Xenopus tropicalis: one gene and its partner. The protein of the gene in region 1 purifies or fractionates together with the protein of each later gene. This does not show direct contact. Links are inferred from orthologs where the notes say so. Each region holds a gene or a part of one and is shown on either strand. Other genes may lie near its edges.

Region 1 (3,759 bases):
AGGAGGGCTAAAAGGAGCCAGAGAGCCCGTCACAATGCAAGGCATGCAGTGAAATCTGTTCCCAGGCCTCCCGCTATATGCATAGCACTGCTGTAAAACAAAAAATAAAGGGCATTAACTCTGGGAATAGAAACTGGCGGCTAGAATGAGGCATAAAGGGTCATTGAGAAAGATAAAAAATGTTCTGTCTGGTACAAGGGGAGAGGGTAAAACAGAACATGGGGGGGCATTTCACTAATGGTACCTTTAACATTACTTAGAAACCTCTGGAATTTCTCTGGAATAAAAAGTGTTTATAAATGAGCCTCAGCTTAATGTGTCCCAAATATCCCTAGTGCTGCTCCCATTACTCCCCAACAGGATGTCCCTGTGCCCTTCTGGCCACACCTCGCTATACACAACAAAGCCCCTTGTCCTGCAGTCCCAGTATGTCAGTCTCCTGTAAGGTCTGTGAGAGCTGCCACGTTTTATTGTGTCGTTCCATGTCCTTTACTCCCCACTGCCAGCCAAAATGTCTCCAGTGCCGCTCACATACAAGCACATCCCCAAGCCTGCCCAAAGGGAAGTAGGGATACTTATTATGGGGACAAATGTACCTGGACCACTGCTACTATAGGCACCATCTCTCCCTACTATACCTGCTATCCCACAGCCCCAGTCCCTTCCCAGAGACTATTATCCCACTGCTACTATAGGCACCATCTCTCCCTACTATACCTGCTATCCCACAGCCCCAGTCCCTTCCCAGAGGCTATTATCCCTCTACTGCTACTATAGGCACCATCTCTCCCTACTATACCTGCTATCCCACAGCCCCAGTCCCTTCCCAGAGGCTATTATCCCCCCACTGCTACTATAGGCACCATCTCTCCCTACTATACCTGCTATCCCACAGCCCCAGTCCCTTCCCAGAGGCTATTATCCCCCCACTGCTACTATAGGCACCATCTCTCCCTACTATACCTGCTATCCCACAGCCCCAGTCCCTTCCCAGAGGCTATTATCCCCCCCACTGCTACTATAGGCACCATCTCTCCCTACTATACCTGCTATCCCACAGCCCCAGTCCCTTCCCAGAGGCTATTATCCCCCCACTGCTACTATAGGCACCATCTCTCCCTACTATACCTGCTATCCCACAGCCCCAGTCCCTTCCCAGAGGCTATTATCCCCACTGCTACTATAGGCACCATCTCTCCCTACTATACCTGCTATCCCACAGCCCCAGTCCCTTCTCAGCTCTCCCTCCTATACTACATACATACATACTCCTTTACCCTAAATTCCATCTCCCCTCTCTAATCCAAAGCTATACTTACAAAGGTTCCATAAAACTATCCCTATTACAGATTCTCATTTTCCCGCCCTTAGCTGACAGAGAGGCAGCTGCTTTATCCAATGAAATATCGTATACAGTTAAGTGGAGCGACGCTAACGTATCGGACGCGCTTATTGGATACAAACAAAGGATACGCCAACGTCACAAGACATAGCGCCCAATCGCAGCGCTTGTGTATGACACGTAGTTCTGCCCCCTGTGGCGGGAGGCGGGGAATGACGCAGCGAGAATAGTGAGAGGGAGGAGAGAGTTATAGAGCGGCGCGGAAGAATTGTTTTACACAGAGCTGCTGTACCGAGGCGGGGTGATCGGGCCACCGTGTGACGGAACTATAGCCGGGGCGGGAATAGACGCGATAGTAGCAGCCACACTCCCACACTAGAGTTGGAGGGAATCTGTGCGTCGTTGCGTGCTCGGCCCCGTCGGTGGATGCGGCGCTCTCGTCCCTGAAGGGAAGGAACGGTGGAGGCAGCAAAGATGCCGCAACCCAAATCACGTAAAATCGCCATCCTGGGGTACCGCTCCGTGGGTGAGTGTGACGGGCAGTGGGCGGGCTTCACCCTAGGGAGGGCGGGGCTTGGGCTAATGGCACATTTAGGGCGGGGAAGCCAGAGTGCACTTGTTCATGTCTGTCCGGCCGGGGCTCAGGGATGTGCCATTGCGGGCTTCATTGGAGCCACAACATCCCCGGGCTCGCCATTGCCCCTTCCGTGGGGTGGAGAATCCTGGGGCAACTAGTCATGGCAGGGAAGCCTCCCGTCACGGGCAGCCAATGGTTAATGAGCTTCCCTCCCTTGTTAGGGGCACCTTCTCTAAATGCAGCATACATAGGGTTAAAGCTTCCACCTTGAACTACAATTCCCGGCATCCCCCCCTGACCTGCTGCTGCTTTAGTTTAATGATAGGCAGCATCTCTAGTCCTGTAGTGTAAATATACTGCTGCCTCCCCAGCCTGTACGCCCCCTGCTGGCCTGCTTAAAGCTTCCACCTTGAACTACAATTCCCGGCATCCCCCCCTGACCTGCTGCTGCTTTAGCTTAATGATAGGCAGCATCTCTAGTCCTGTAGTGTAAATATACTGCTGCCTGTACGCCCCCTGCTGGCCTGCCCGCACAGGCTTCTGGGATTTGTAGTTCCTTAGCCCCAGGAGAGGCAAAATGAGGTCGTCTTAACCTTTTTTTTTTCCTAGAGAACCCAGTCTTGTGACCCACCATTTGGCTGAGAGTTGACTGTAATTACTAATGTAGGCGGATAGGGCACTTTAATAAGGAGGCTAAACAGCATTGCGCGTCCAGATGTGCGGAATCCTGCGCGTTATAGGGATGCGTGTGTTCTGCCATAATGGAAAGTAATACACTTGGCTGTGTGCACACTTTCCCCCGCCCCGGGGCAGCCATTACAGGGGGTGGAAATGAAAGGCCAGGAGCCATTGAAACACAATGGGTGATATTGTTTAACCAATACTCTCTGTATTACAGCAGTTCCTGAAGTGGGGGGGGGCTGCTCCCTACTGGGGAATGTGGGGCAGGGGGTTAAGACTGGGGGAGAATGGCCATTTGTATCGCTGGATACACCTAGGGGAGTAGCAAGACTTGGGCTGAATATGTCTTTGCTGCCCTAGATATCCTTGTTAGGGATACGCCGATATCTTCCTTTATCCACTAATAAAGGACACACACTGCTGTATTAGGCAGTAGAAAATGGAGATTAGAGAGGGCAGGTAGTTATTGGTTATCAAGATATTGTCCATCTGCCGTTACTCAGGCTCCTATGTGTGCCTCCGTTGCACTTATATACAGTGTCCGTTTATATTGTACATGTGAGCAGCTTCAGTCGGTGCAGAGGAGCATTGGGAAGAGCCAGTAATAATGGCAGCGGGGCTCTATAGAATAAATGTGGGCCGGTATATTTGTAAAGAGGAGTTCCAGCCCTGGGTCTCTGCTCAGAGAGGGGATGTGCTGATGTTACACATTGACACCCCCTAAGGCAGGGATCCCCAACCTTTATTACCCATGAGCCATATTCAAATGTAAAAAGACTTGGGGAGCAATACGATCGTAATACATGTTCCTGGGGGTCCAAATAAGGGCTGTAATTGGTTATTTGGTAGCCCCTATATGGACTGGAAGCCTACGGGATATTCTGTTTGCCAGTACATCTGGGTTTTATTCAACCAAAACTTGCCCCCAAGTCAGGAATTCAAAAATAAGCAGCTGTTTTAAGGCCACTGGGAGCAACACCCAATGGGTTGGGGAGCAACATGTTCCCCTGAGCCACTGGTTGGGGATCACTGATCTAAGTAGACTTACACCTGCACAGACCCATTAGTTCTGTGGGAGTCACACACTTTGCTGTTTGGCTGTACCTGGCAACGGAGCTTCACCTAATCTAGTGGATCCATATAACGTATAGTTCTGCTG
Region 2 (3,659 bases), on another chromosome or scaffold:
CACATGGGGCAGTTTTTCTACATTGTTTTTAAGCTGGCAGAGAAATGCCTGAAACCACCTGAAATAATTGTGGAGCAGTATAAGCAGTTTTGCCTGTTTACCCTCTCAGTACAGTACTATCAGTGCTTTTAGCCTATGGAGGCACTATCAGTTCAGGTTGCTAAATGCTTTAGCAGAGGTGTCAGGGAGCTGCTATCTGTTCAGGCTTATTGGCTACTGGGGGAAGGAAAGGGAGGGGGGATATATCACTCCAACTTGCAGTGCAGCAGTAAAGTGTGGTTGAAGTTTATTAGAGCACAAGTCACATGGCTGTGCCACCCTGGGAAATGAAGAATATGGCATGGCTATCTACATGTAAAATTTTAAAACTAAATATAAAAAAAACCCATCAGTTTGCCCTTTTAAAAATCAGATTACAATGCAGGATTCTGCCGGAGAAGCTTTATTAACTGATGCGTTTTGAAACAAACATGTTTTCCCATGGCAGTATTCCTAAAGGCTATGGGACAGTTCCAGGCATTTTTTACCCAGATGAAAAATAGCTTTACTGTCAGGCACCATATGGCATGAAATAAAGACAATAAATACACGCTGTTCCAGAAAAAGTATACAGAGCATCTTACCACATAGCATGCATGTAGGTGGGTGGCAAACGAGGGCTGCTCACTGGGCTGCAATTGTATGATCTCATGATCCTCTCGGCCAGAAGAAAGTTCCGGAAGAGACTGGCAACTAATAGGTCCTGTCTAAAGAGCTTCTGAAATAGGTCTGAAATTATAAAGATGATAAATGCTGAAATATATATATTAATAAAATACAAACTATATCTAGAACACAAATATATATTTTGCAGAACCTAAAGTACTAGATATGTGTGCTCTGGTTTTAAGTGGTTGAACAGTATATTTCTCTTACAAAGCAAATTGGCACTGCTGTTAGCATTGCTACCTTGCTGAAATCCTAGCTTTAATTCCTGCCACTTGAAGGAGTTTGTATGTTCTCCCACTGTTTGAATGGATTTTCTCTGGAAACTCACACATAAAGGCTCCTCATTAACCCTAGTGTGTGTGAATTTGCTGAAGAACTTAAATTGTAAGCTTTACTGGGTCAGGGACTCAGGCAATATGGAAGCACTAAATAATACTTTACTTTAGAATAAGTCAGTCTGCGCCACTGACACTTAAAGAACTAACTTCTCCCTACCATGAGTATATGCATGTATGCACAATCATCCACCCATTATTTATATACGGTCTTAATTATCCACTGAGTGGGAAATAGTTCAAATTAGTAACCAATATCAGGAAAACTCTATTTTGTTATAAAATCTCTTTACTCCCACTATAATAGTAACATATATTTAAGCTATAGTGTAGCAGTATGATATGACTGTACCTCTAGGCAGAACGTTCCATGCTATAGTATCTGTGATTGCTGTAAAGATCCAGTTCAGCTCTCCCAGTGGTGTCCTCCTATCATTTAATCGCCCAGGAATTCTAGGAAAGAGAACAGTATGATATTAATTACTAAATCAAACTGCTAAAAAAATGCACAATGAATTACTAGGGACATTCAAAACAAAATCTCAATGAACCATGGTTAACCAAGCCACCCCCCCCCACAAAAAAAAAGAATCTTTTATTTAATTTTTCCCACAATTCTTAGCTGTCTCTTATATGTTTACTATCACTGATATTTTTTCAGAATGTTGTGAATGGTTACATATTTTACCCTGGTTTTCTATTTTTTAGCTTTTTTTTTTTAATTTTGATAGCTAACCAACAAACTGAGCTTAACATCCCTCTCATACATAATCTGAAATGGCACATGTTGTAAATTTCAAATAAGGCAAAATAAATGCCCAAATATAAACCTGGTTTTCAATATAAGAATGGCTCCTTTAACTCAATGTCTTACAGCAACTCACTGATAATGCCCTTTTCCAACTGGCCTGATACGATAAAATGAATATTACATCTTCCTCAGGCAGGTTATACTTCCCTGTTATGCCATTCTTCCAGCCATATACTGACATACTGACTAACCAGACATGGCTTATACATAAATTGACCATTTAGCCCCATTAGAATTCTGATAACTGCAATCCTTCTCACAAACAGCCTTCAGATTGTATTGTGGAGATCAGCAGGCAGCATCTGAGGCTTTATGAAAATTGCGCTTTTATTGTACCAGACTCCTGACTTAACTAAACTTCAGCACTGAGCCTGCCTCTTGAGTATTAGAATGTGTATGGGTCATTTCATCTAATCAATGTGATCACGATATTTATTTGCTACAAAGGAGCTCAGGTTTAAACATATTTAATTAACGGCAAGATTGTGAGGACGATGTAAGGACATTACAAGCCTGACTGCTTTGCTTCATGCCCTAGCTGAACAGCTGATGTGTGCACACTTTCTCCAGTCCAGAGGGAAAACCGTCTCTGAGCTATTCTTCAGCATGAAGAGGTTAAAGGTGGCTATGGGTAATTTCCTTGTCAAATCCACCTGTCTAATGGGAAAACAAATTGTGTTGCTAGTAAGCCTGTTATACTTGTGAACAGCAGACCCTTCGCTGTATGAATCTGGTCACATAAAGAAAGGGACAAAGAATGGGCTGAAATCATTGGTAGTTTTGGCACACAACCAGTGAAAATACTACATATTATAAGGAGTATTTTCAGTTAAAAATCACATTAGATATGAGCAGGCATATCAGTATATTGTATGTAAAGCTAAGTTTATAGGCTTCTTACTTTTTCTTTACATTGCTCTTACAAATAGAATAAGCCAGTCTGTAATAATTACACCTTAATACACCTTGGCTGCAAATTTGGGTAAATGAGGTGAAAATAGACAAAGCACCCTTATAGGTATATGCTGTGCGAAAAGTCAAGGGAGGTGGCTTCAATACATAGAAATTGTAAGTAAACAGAATATTAACAATACACATATATGTTACTTATACTATTTAAAGTATTCAGATCTTTGACCAATTAGCTTTACTGTATAAGAAAGCCTTCCTTGTATGTTATTCCATGTCACATTTTTCTATCAAAAAATTAAATTTCAAATTTAGTTTAATATAAGTGATATTTTATGTAAATATAAATGAAAAACGTTATTGCTTCATTTTCAATCCCCACAAGAACAGCTTTATGTCCGTTACATTCTTAGCTTTGATTATAATTTGAGATTTTGATCCATTGTATTAAGTATAGATTATAAAAATGCTAACTATATCTGGAATACAAATAAATATTTAAATGTTTTTATGACTTTTGCAGAAATGTTACTAGAAATGTGTACTCTGGTCTTGACTGGTCGAATATTATCTATTACAAAGCATGGTGCTTGCTGAACTAAAATCCAAGGTTTAATTCCTTGTAGTGATAAACTGAAAGGAGTTTTATGTGCTCCCCCTTCTTTCATGGATTTCCTCTGTGTACTCTGGGTAATAAAGAATAGACTGTGGCAGAGACTAAGTTTTTTAAGTATATTTTGTGAAAAGATGCAGTTTGAGAGTGTAGCTCCATTAAATAATGTGCTTATTAAGGATACAGAAATGGCAAGTGTGCTTAACCAGTTCTTTTCTTCAGAGTACTCAATAGAGTAATCAAAGTTTCAACAACCACCTTATAGGTGCACTGATGGCTCAAT

Evidence for each region. The genes of interacting proteins can lie anywhere in the genome.
Region 2: the proteins of rheb (region 1) and rptor purify together in Homo sapiens (affinity purification with western blotting, with the first as the bait; 3 studies listed by BioGRID). This does not show direct contact. The link is inferred for Xenopus tropicalis from reciprocal best matches to the Homo sapiens genes RHEB and RPTOR.

Annotation. Positions count from the first base shown.
Region 1 is NC_030682.2:14,449,360-14,453,118, reverse strand, and holds the start of rheb (GTP-binding protein Rheb), read left to right. Parts: upstream 1-1,559; 5' UTR 1,560-1,816; coding exon 1,817-1,868; intron 1,869-3,759. UniProt on the Homo sapiens protein: Small GTPase that acts as an allosteric activator of the canonical mTORC1 complex, an evolutionarily conserved central nutrient sensor that stimulates anabolic reactions and macromolecule biosynthesis to promote cellular biomass generation and growth.
Region 2 is NC_030686.2:26,937,805-26,941,463, forward strand, and holds part of rptor (regulatory-associated protein of mTOR), read right to left. Parts: intron 1,497-3,659; coding exon 1,396-1,496; intron 769-1,395; coding exon 624-768; intron 1-623. UniProt on the Homo sapiens protein: Component of the mechanistic target of rapamycin complex 1 (mTORC1), an evolutionarily conserved central nutrient sensor that stimulates anabolic reactions and macromolecule biosynthesis to promote cellular biomass generation and growth.